Linked DNA regions of Nothobranchius furzeri. The protein of the gene in region 3 purifies or fractionates together with the protein of the main gene of each other region. This does not show direct contact. Links are inferred from orthologs where the notes say so. Each region holds a gene or a part of one and is shown on either strand. Other genes may lie near its edges.

Region 1 (3,651 bases), on a different chromosome or scaffold from region 3:
CCCGTACTTCCCACTTTGTCTTCTTTGAGGGATAATAAATGTCCTGAGCGCTGCCGTCTCCTCCTTTGGCCATTATTTCAGCTTTAGCTTCAAGAAAGTTTTGGTTGTAAACAACAAAGTGCGCATGTGCCGCCGGCAACTTCAGCAGATGATACGGTGGCTGGTAAGGGTCACCGCGCCTACACCGCAGCCACGCTAATCCACCGAGATAATATAGTTTTTTAAAACAAGACGGTTATTATTATTGTCAACTTTTTTAACCGGGGTTTACCGCTACACCGGTTACCGTGACAACCCTAGCTGTTAGTGAGGCTTCGTTAAACTTGTCCTTTGATTTGGCTCTCTAAGCTCAGCCGAGTCCTGACTGGTGTCTCCTTCAGCCAGAGCAGAACCAGCTGACCAGTGCTCTACTCGCTTACTGGTTTTGGGAGTCAGGTAAACGCTGAGGGCGGTGATGGCGTCTTCAGTTGGGTCTCTGTAGAGCTCAGTCACTAGCAGGTCGTTGTCCTTCATCCTCAGAGGAAACTTCTGAACATCTGACCAACAAAAAACACACAAACGTCCAAAACTGCAGCAGTTTACAGAAAACAAGGTGCTGGTCTTCAGGTGGAGCTTCTCACCGATGTAGTAGATGGACCCGTTGTTGCAGCCCAGGATGAGGAAGGAGCCGGCGGTGTCGTAGCTGCTGATGGGAACCACGTCCTGGTTCTGCAGAAAGACCAGAACCAGACCGGGTCAGAGACAAACCACAACGCTCCGCGGCCTCGTTTGACCTCAGATCTAAAGCTTGTTAGGAGGAACCCTTCCTGTGATGAGAAATGATAAAAGACCTGCAGTGTGGCACCTTCCTGAGTCAGAGGACTTCGACTGGTGATGATGTTGATGATGATGAAGGCCTCTGGTTCTTTTTAATGAAATGTTTTTGGGTAAAAGATCTGAAACCTTCACAATTTACTACAAAATGCAAAAATTCAGCTAAAACAGAAACATGCTTCAGGTTAAAGAGTTTAATGTTCTGATGTCAATTTCCTTTGTTTTCTATATTTGTTTTGTAACACACACACACACACACACACGTGACCCAAGTGTTACTCTCCCCACCTGCCAGTGTTTGGTGACGGCGTTCCAAACCCCGACCTTCCCTGTGTGACTGGTGGCGATCAGCTGATTACCAACGAAGAACAGTGCCTCAGCCGGCACATTCAGGCTGAACACACCTGCAGGACCAACAGAACATCAGATCGCAGGTAACTATCAGATCCAATCAGAACCCTGAATCACCCGGCTCTGTCCTACTACCCCCCCCCCCCCATCGTACCGATTTCATTCCCATTCCCGTCTGGACAAATGGTCCACAGGATGATCTCTGTCACCGAGGCAACAGCCACCATCTTGTCGTTGTCCCCTAGTGACCCTCCCATCACTCTGGCGTTGAGAGCGACTCTGTCGATCACGCAGTCGAGGCGAGGGGAGGTGAAGACCTGCTGCCACCCGGTCGACTCCTTCACTCTGAAACGGGAGGAAACGGCCGTGACTGAAGCGGATACAGGGAAACATCCGCATTTCCACTAAGAGAACACTAACCCATAAACAGCCAATCAGAGGCTGGTTCTGATCACTAATAATCCACCTTTAATCCTGAAAGCTGGACTTAATCTGACAGGTTTACCTGTAGCAGACAACAAACTGAGCGTACGCCACGGCGATCCAGTTATGATGCCCACAGATGATCCGAACCAGGCCGGAATCCGACGACCCACCTGCGCACACCTCAGAGACCTCAGCGTGGGCCAGAACCGCTCACAGACCTTAACCAGAAAAAAGAATCGCGTTACCTGCTGATGATCTCTCCTCCGTGCTGATCCTTCCCAACATCCCAGAGATCCCTAGGTTGGGCGGCATCGTGTTGCTGCGTCGGACCGGTACACGCTCCCCTGATACAGCCCGACCCGCCACGAACTGCGATCCAGCCACACTGTGGCGGTTCCGCCGCTTCACTGGGTAAACTGAGACGACACACCGTCACTTCAGACGCTGAACTGGAGCTCTGCTGAAGGTCAACTGGGAGGACAGGTGTCCTACCTGGTGGAGGCAGGTAACCGTTGAACAGAACGTTTCCACAGGAGGACCGGTCCAATTCGTCACACAGCTGCAGCTTGCGAACTAAATAATGCAAAGAAATAATACTGATCATTTTAAACGGATAAAAACTCCCGATCCAGACCAGAACTCCTAAGAACCAAAGCTGCCCTCGCAGGAGGAGGCAACACGGTTGCCATGGAGACTAACAGTAAACTAGCCAGAGGGAAGAAAGCATACCAACTTTATTTATAAAGCACATTTAAAAACGGCATGGCAGCAGACCAAAGTGCTGTACAGGATAAAAAGTAAAAACACTAGAAAACAAGACACCGTCAACAATAAAATACACAACAAGGCAGATAATCACGGTCAATAAAAAGACACAGTAAAATAATAAAAGTCAGGGATTTAAAAATGCCTGGTCGAAAAAGTGAGCCTTAAGCAGCGACTTGAACCGGAGGAGGGATGGTGCCAGCCTCACTGAAAGAGGAAGAGCATTCCAGAGCGTAGACAAAAGCACGCTGCCTCCGCGTTTTCTATTTCATTGTTGGAACGCGAAGCAGCAGGCGATCAGCAGACCTCAACGCCCGGTTTGGCACATAACGAGTCACAAGATCCGACAGGTAATCCGGAGCCAGACCACTCAGGGCCTTAAAAACAAAAGTCAGGATTTTAAACTTGACTCTGAAGTTTACGGGTAGCCAGTGGAGCTGCGTCAGTACAGGTGTGATGTGGTCTCTTCTAGGGGTGTTTGTTAAAAACCTGGCTGCCGCGTTCTGTACCACCTGAAGCCTGTTGAGAGCGGAGGCAGGTAAACCAATTAAAATGGAATTTGCATAATCCAGTCGGGAGATGATAAAAGCATGGATTACGGATTCACGGTTGCACGGCTCCAGTTTGTGCAGAACTCTGTGGCTAGGTTCCTGACAGGCACTAGATGTCGAGAGCACATTACCCCAGTGCTGACTGCTCTGCACTGGCTCCCGGTGCAATATCGGGCTAAGTTTAAAATCTTAACTCTCGTTTATAAGGCCCTCCAGGGCAGTGCCCCCTCGTACATTACTGCACTTTTGCAGAGGTATGCTCCGTCTCGGTCTCTTCACTCAGCCGAGCAGGAACTTCTGGTTGTCCCCCGGTCGAAATATCGATCGAGGGGTTGTCGTGCTTTTCCTGATCTGGCTCCAACTCTGTGGAACGAATTGCCACTGAGCATTAGGCAGGCACCGTCCCTTCAAGTCTTTAAGTCTCGTTTAAAGACTCATTTTTATTTGATTGCGTTTTAGCGCTAGGGTTCTTTTAATTGCCCTGACATCATGGTTTTAACTATTCTTCTTTTGAACCCAGATGCTTGATTTTATTTTGTCCAACATTTATTTTTGATCGATTAGTCTTATTCCGATATCTCTCTTTATCTGTAATAGTGTTTGCTTGATATTTTATGATTTTATGTTTTTATCCTGCTTTTATGCCCATGTACTGGGAATGTTTTTCCTTTAATGATGTTGTTCAGCACCTTGGGCTTCCGATAATGTTGTAGAAGGTGCGATACAAATAAAATTTGATTGATTG
Region 2 (3,651 bases), on a different chromosome or scaffold from region 3:
GTTATCAGACTTATCGTTATTTTCAGTTTTATCGTTATCAGACTTATCATTATCGTCAGTTTTATCGTTATCAGACTTATCATTATCGTCAGTTTTATCGTTATCAGACTTATCGTTATTGTCAGTTTTATTGTTATCAGACTTTTCTTTATCGTCAGTTTTATCGTTATCAGACTTATCGTTATCGTCAGTTTTGTCGTTATTAGACTTATCGTTATCGTCAGTTTTATCGTTATCAGACTTATCGTTATCGTAAGTTTTGTGGATATCAGACTTATCGTTATTGTCAGTTTTATCGTTATCAGACTTATCGTTATCGTCAGTTTTATCGTTATCAGACTTATCTTTACTGTCAGTTTTATTGTTATCAGACTTTTCGTTATCGTCAGTTTTATCGTTATCAGACTTATCTTTACTGTCAGTTTTATTGTTATCAGACTTTTCGTTATCATCAGTTTTATCGTTATCAGACTTATCTTTATTGTCAGATATATCGTTATCAGACTTATCTTTATTGTCAGATATATCGTTGTTAGACTTATCGCTATTGTCTGATTTGAAGTTATCAGACTTGTTAGAGTTAATGTTTTCATCAGAGTTATCAGTATTGTCAGACTTACCCCTACTTCACAGTAGAAGCATCAGCCTTGCAGAACGCAAGTGAACGGTTTACTCGCTAGCTTCACAGCATGCCAAAACACACCGGGGGGAGTCTCAGCTGCAGAACGGCTTTTCCGCCGTGCTTCTCACTGAACTTGCGAGATCACAAGATACCTTGAGTCTTCAAAAGTCACGGTTTGTTTATGCCATCTGCTGTTAAACCAAAAAGAGGGAGATCACGTTTTATATCACTGTTTGATGTCGTATATGATGTTGTTCCTCTCCACTGCCAGGATTAAAGCCATGAAAAACACACCACTGCACTTCTGGAACGATGCTGGGAGTAAATAAACCTTGAGTTCACACATATAGACGTAAACTACATAGCTATGAAATTGCATCCCTGCAGTAGACTTATTGTGAAAATTACCTGACATTTTACTCTGAAACCGTGTGTCATTTCCTGTTCGGCAGTTGACATATCCCAGAAGCGGGTTGTTGCAAAAATAGAATCTGATTCTATCTTTAGCGGCGCGGCGTTCCGCTTCTGGGACGTGCCTGAAAATTGCCGCGTCGAGGCTGGTTTGAAACACCCCCACAGACTATAACGGATTGAAGCAGCGACATTGCACACTTATCAACAGAATACTCTAAAATTTAATGAAATATACAGACAACCTGAACGTCGTTACAATATATCGTGGCATCACGTTGTGCCCAGACACTTGTGCTGATGATCTATACCAGGGGTTGGCAACCTGTTCCCATCAAAGAGCCATTATTACCCGTTTCCCACAGTAAAGAAAACACTGGGAGCCACAGCAGCCACAGCGTTGTTGGCGGGGCCTACCCTCAGACATCTGAGAGCTGCTTTAACTAATCACAACAGGTGACAGCAGCCAGTACCGGTCGCTCGTGTACGTCAAAGTTATCTTTCATAAGACGATAATCAATAAAACGATTTATATAAAATGGATCCAGAAGCTGTAGCCCGTCTCTGCCTGTTGTAATTAAACTTTGTAGGTGGGGAAGGTCAAAAAAGGATCCGATCATTTTGTTTTTCCCTCATTTACAGTGACGGAGACAATGGCGCAGTGCGCCTGGCTCTGGTGTTAATCAAGTTAAATTATATCTCTTTGCGACAATTTTCACAAGAAAACAGAACAGTTAAAAGCAGGGCTTGTGTTGTGTTGACCGGATAGTTCCCGTATTTGACCGTTTATTTTGACGGAGAAAGAATAGAAAGAATTACCCCGACGCATGCAGACGAACTGACATTTTATTCTACGCACATCACAGATGTAGCTAAATCACTCAAGAAAAGATTCCCATCTGAACATCTGAGCTGGACACTGCTCAGCGCAGCTCACTGTCAGCATGTACTACATAAGGTCCACAGCGAGCTGAAGATGTGGAGAGGGGCTTGGAGCGCGTCGCAGAACCAGAGCGCATGCAGGAAGATTCCTCCGACTGAAGTGAGACTTGTCACTTAGAAAATGTTCCCTGATTATGAAACTTTGGCTGAATAGCGCTTGTTCCTGTCTCCAATGTGGCGACGCATCCAGGAGCCTGTCTAAGGAGAATCCCAGAATCTCACAACCTCGTCAGCTCAGGGAGCGCCTATGATTACGCACAAGCGTGACGCGTCAACCCGGTCTCACAGTAAGACCGGGTTGGACCTGTTCAGGTTTACGTAGACAATCTTTACATTTAGAATTGGCTTACAGATGTAAAATTAATGCAGTAAATTATAAAGCATTTTATTTAAAAATCCATTCATTATTTTACAAGCTCAGAGAGCCGCATCAGATGATGGAAGAGCCGCATGCGGCTCTAGAGCCGCGGGTTGCCGACCCCCGATCTATACCGACCTTATCGTTGACTCTGCGATACGAGACGGTCCTGCAGACCTAATCATAAACGGATCTTTTCCTAGTTTTTACACACGGATAAAAGCCTTCAGCGTCTCCGTTGTCCTGACACTCACCACCAGATTCTCTCGTTATGAGCTGAGCGGGTGAGATCTTCCCCCTCTGTGTTCATGAATTATTCTGTTGGAGTTCGATCCCTGCCCCCGCATTAATAATTCACCGCCTCAGCCTGCTTTTAACCCGCATCAACATCAGCAGCCTCTTTCTGAAAATGTAAAAATCTTCAGGTCCTTTCTTAATTGGAGCAAATGTCAACAGTTAGAAGCGTAGGAGGATTATTTTAGATCATTTTAAACAATCTCTGAGCTTTGAACCGTTTCATTTACGGCTCTTTGTTGCCGTTCTGTCAGCTCTCCGGGTTTTCATGTAACAGCTGATTAAAGGAAGTAGAACAACGTTTCTGGTGCATTATTAAGCGACACCCCCACCCCCCGCTGCTCAGACAAACAGCTCTCTCTCCTCACGTTTCACCTCATGTCCTCATCAAAGACTGTATTTTTTTGTCTTCTCTATCATCTTTGTGTCTACCATGCTGTCTCCGTGTCCCTGCAGGTCCAGGGAACAACGCAGCGGCATCCGCCGGGCTCGCCCAGTCCCAGTCCAGAGCCATGATCGCAGCCGCCGCCCGGCGCCGTGACACCAGCCACAACGAGCTGTACTACGAAGAGGTGGAGCACGAGAAGCGGGTCCGCAAACGCAAAGCGCGGTGAGTCCGAGGAGCAGCTCGAGGATTCTGTGAAGAAGCAGGAGTAACTGTGTGTTTCCTCCCAGCCTGGTGGTGGCGGTAGAGGAGGCCTTCACCCACATCAAACGCATGCAGGACGACGAGCAGAAAAAGGCTCCCGGGGACGTGATGGACCCCAGAGAGGCGGCGCAGGCCATCTTCCCCTCCATGGCTCGGGCCCTGCAGAAGTACCTGAGGACCACCAAGCAGCAGCACTGCCACAGCATGGAGAGCATCCAGCAGCACCTGGCCTTCTGCATCACCAACAACATGACGCCCAAGGTCCAAACTGCTTCCATCAGTCTCCTGCTGGCTCTGGAAAGACTCTGTTACTCATTTGTTCTTCTCCCCTCCTCCAGGCCTTCCTGGAGAGCTACCTGACGCCAGGCCCCACCC
Region 3 (3,651 bases):
TTCTACCATGCTGCTCTGTTTACAACTCGCTCGCAGCGACCGACGACATAACGCTCTTGCGCATGCGCAGCTGTCTAGGCAAGTTCTCGTTATGAAGGACGGGTACCGAAACGACGCACCGTTTCAAATGACGTGAATCGGTGCTTAGTCGGTACTGTGGAATTCGGTCGGTACCTTAAAAAGTACCGAATTCGGTACCCATCGCTAGTACAAACATAACCAACAGAAGAATTTAATTTGGGATTTCTGTAGATGGAGTTTGGGTCTCTAATTTCCCTCTGGGATTAATAAAGTATTGATTGATTGATTGATTGATTGATAAATCTTACAAGATCGTTGTGTGGCATGATCGGTCTGGCAACCCTGGCCAGGTGTTGTTTCTGCTGTTGGTTACCTGGATCAGGTGTGTTCAGCCAGTTAGAAGCCGCAAGTTCATGCAGGACTGCGGCTCTCTGAGACCGGGGTTGCCTACCCCTGGTCTGGGGAAATACAGAAATGGGGCTGAGAGTGGAGCAGATGTTCTGACCCAATGTAGCTATGAGCTAACAGAGCTAAACATAGCTAACGGGGGTTGGTGGGAGCTTTTAGCCAGAAAACTGCTGTTTAGAGTGACAGTGTGTAGTTTCCCTGGCGATAGGGGGCAGAGCATACCTAAATGATTGTGTTCAAGTAAGACTTTACCTACGAATGGCCATTAGGGTCAAACATCTCTGGGAGCACAACATCCAGCAAAAATAACAAGAACACCAGATTCCCTTTCATCACCGGCAACGAGTGAAGAGGTAAACGTGTAAATCAATGTTTATTAATGGTGAAAGTTCTGTAACCAAATCAGTAAATGCATTTTGTCCACACGGACTTCCGTAGAAGGAAACATGGCATCTAATATGGCGCCGCCCAGAGACTTGGACCCACTCCCATGGTTATATGTTGTGAAACTGCCAAAAATTGTAATCCGCTGGGCATCTTTTAATTTGTTTACAACAACATTAGATGGATATTTCCAGAGATTAATGGTAAAAACTACACATTGTCACTTTAAAGGTGTGGTTCACTGAGAAAACATTTTTTAAATGCTGAGTGTTTCATGCAAGCTGAACATGAAAATAGTCTCCTACACCTATCTCCTGCAGTAGCTTCTGATAGAAAACAGACGGTGAAACTCTAGGATAGAAAATCCTGACAGATCTACGTCACCCTGTCACTAACATTCATGGATTCACCCATCTGGACTCACGACGGGGAAGGCTGTTGTTGGTTTAGTGTCCAGGAAACAGCAGAGAACGTCTCCGCTAGTAGAAGCTAACGGTTAGCATTAGCAATTCCACCACACAGCAGAACTCCTCCAGACTTGTGTTTTTCGTGGCGATAAAACGGCTCATCTGCTATCTGTCAGTGAGATAGACACGCCACTAAATATTCACACTTTCAAGCTTTAGTTACATCAAAGTACATGAAACACAGAAGGATTTGCCCCCGAGTTGCCATGACGATAAACATGAGTGTCAATGGGAAGTTTCACCTTTCTGGAGCCAGCCCCTAGTGGACGAGGGGGGACTACATGTTTGTCACTTCTGCGTTGGCAGAGTTTTCCAATGATTTCAACAGCTGATAAAAATAATCGTTTTGCTAAAATAATTCATGATCAAAAATACAAATCCTGAACTTCAAGCTGTATTTTGTCTAGTTTTAGGTTAGAGGGTCGAACTAGAAACGCGTTAGTACGTTTGGTTTATAACAGGCTTTTAAATGTAAAACATCAGGTTTTTTAGGAATCTGGATTAAAATGAGATTTTTCAGTTTACATGAAAATATCAACTTTTGAGGTCCACATCTGGCAGGGAGCTGGATGTTTTTCTAATATTTCAAATGTCTCTGGTATTTTTAGGCTGGCCGGTCTGAGCCCAGACTCCAGGAGGGAGACCTGGTGGTTCTTATCAACGGTCGAGACATATCCGAGCACACGCACGACCAGGTCGTCATGTTCATACGGGCCAGCAGAGAATCGCACTCCAGACAGCTGGCCCTGCTCATCAGACGCAAAGGTGATCCGGAGGAAAGCTCTGAAATTTGTGGGTTTTTTTATGTTTGAATATGTAATCAGCCTTGAACTGTCCTTCTAATCCAGGTTCAAGCCGGGTGGCGTCCTCGCTGCAGCTGCCTACTGCCCTCACGCTCACCATCCAGTCACAGGAAAACAAGCCGGCGTCTCCTGGTCAGTCGGAACGGGTCGCCACGCAGGAGGAGTCGATGAAACAGCTGGAGAGAGGGATCCAGTCTGGCACTCTGTGCTTCCACTTTGAGGTATTTCAAATCTTAGCAAAAGGGCTAATGAGCGTTTGTCTTTTCGTAATGATGTGGAGAGTCATGATGAGAGCGTTGCTTGTCAGACAGATGTTGGCCCTAATCTTCAGCCGGAAGCTGCTCGTAGAAACAGAAGCTGTGGCTGGCCTGGATTCTTGTTTTGTGTTCAGCTTTTGGATGTTACTGTTTGTTTACTTGCATGTTTGTGTGTGTTTGCATGCTTGTAATTCCTAGAATTTATACAGGAGGAAGCCTGGTTTGTCACTAAGCTGTGCACGGCTGCCTGAGAACGTGGAGAAGAATCGATACAGGGATGTTTTACCTTGTAAGTTTGCTCCCTCACTGCCCGGTGCTTCCACCGCCCTCCACCCCTCTCAGCTTCGTCTCTCCGCCGCCTTTTCCGACCCTGAACTGGATCTGGCCGTGGGTCCTGATGTTTAAGTGGCGGCGGCGCTTTGACGGCTCTGTTCTGACCCTCACCAGCTGCTGTCTCGCTCTTGTTTCAGACGATGCCACCAGGGTGGTGCTGCGGGGTCAGGAGGACTACATCAACGCCAGCCACATCAAGGTGAACTCTGCTCACGTGGAACCGCCTCCTCCTTGCCTGAACCGTTCGTTTAGGCTCATCCTGTTTGTGTTTGTTTGTTTGTCTCTCAGGTGGCGCCGCCGGCGTCCGGTGTGTGTTTACGTTACATTGCATCTCAGGGTCCACTGCCGCAGACCTTCGCTCACTTTTGGCAGACCGTGTGGGAACAGCAGATACACACCATCATCATGCTCACGACGCTGACAGAGAGGGGACGGGTAAAATACACTTTGTTGCTCTGAAGCAAGCAGGCGCTGTTGAAATTACACGACCCTGTCGGTGGTGCATTAACGCGGTGATTACTGCAGCACCACTGGCTAATTATTACATGCTGCGTCGTGTTCAGTTCGATACGTGATTATTACGGTAATGAGGGGGTCCAGCGGTGATGTTTGCACACAACCGCAATCAGACGGCACGGTTGTGAGCAATTACTGGGTTTCTCAGCAAAACGTGAGTGTGGACCAGATCCCAGGGAGATGAATAACTCTCGTCCGCACGGACGCAGGGAGAAATAAAGGTGCTCCCTGAGTGAACATGCGTTCTTCTCAGCTTGCCTGTTGCCTGGTAACCAGATGTTCTCATTAACTGATCATTTCCCTGAAGCTCATCAAGTGTCCAGAGTTTCTTTGTTCTGCACAAACAAACACACAGATTGGCTTTCAGTTCACATCCTGCCGCTGATGAATTGCTGTTGTTCCCCGGACCGCCCCGCGCAGCAGCGCAGGCGCTTGAATACGAGTTTGATTTCCTGAGAGCGG

Evidence for each region.
Region 1: the proteins of ptpn3 (region 3) and shkbp1 purify together in Homo sapiens (affinity purification with mass spectrometry; 4 studies listed by BioGRID and IntAct, with this or other methods). This does not show direct contact. The link is inferred for Nothobranchius furzeri from reciprocal best matches to the Homo sapiens genes PTPN3 and SHKBP1.
Region 2: the proteins of ptpn3 (region 3) and vang-like protein 1 purify together in Homo sapiens (affinity purification with mass spectrometry; 4 studies listed by BioGRID and IntAct, with this or other methods). This does not show direct contact. The link is inferred for Nothobranchius furzeri from reciprocal best matches to the Homo sapiens genes PTPN3 and VANGL1.

What each region holds. Positions count from the first base shown.
Region 1 is NC_091753.1:56,774,785-56,778,435, forward strand, and holds part of shkbp1 (SH3KBP1-binding protein 1), read right to left. Parts: intron 2,164-3,651; coding exon 2,083-2,163; intron 2,007-2,082; coding exon 1,836-2,006; intron 1,761-1,835; coding exon 1,670-1,760; intron 1,510-1,669; coding exon 1,319-1,509; intron 1,218-1,318; coding exon 1,102-1,217; intron 709-1,101; coding exon 621-708; intron 537-620; coding exon 420-536; intron 1-419.
Region 2 is NC_091754.1:55,593,041-55,596,691, reverse strand, and holds part of vang-like protein 1, read left to right. Parts: exon of another isoform or gene 1-622; intron 623-686; exon of another isoform or gene 687-749; intron 750-852; exon of another isoform or gene 853-937; intron 938-1,030; exon of another isoform or gene 1,031-1,202; intron 1,203-2,471; exon of another isoform or gene 2,472-2,502; intron 2,503-2,587; exon of another isoform or gene 2,588-2,643; intron 2,644-3,083; coding exon 3,084-3,237; intron 3,238-3,302; coding exon 3,303-3,537; intron 3,538-3,614; coding exon 3,615-3,651.
Region 3 is NC_091745.1:79,125,377-79,129,027, reverse strand, and holds part of ptpn3 (tyrosine-protein phosphatase non-receptor type 3), read left to right. Parts: intron 1-1,888; coding exon 1,889-2,045; intron 2,046-2,128; coding exon 2,129-2,304; intron 2,305-2,538; coding exon 2,539-2,629; intron 2,630-2,810; coding exon 2,811-2,872; intron 2,873-2,961; coding exon 2,962-3,108; intron 3,109-3,651.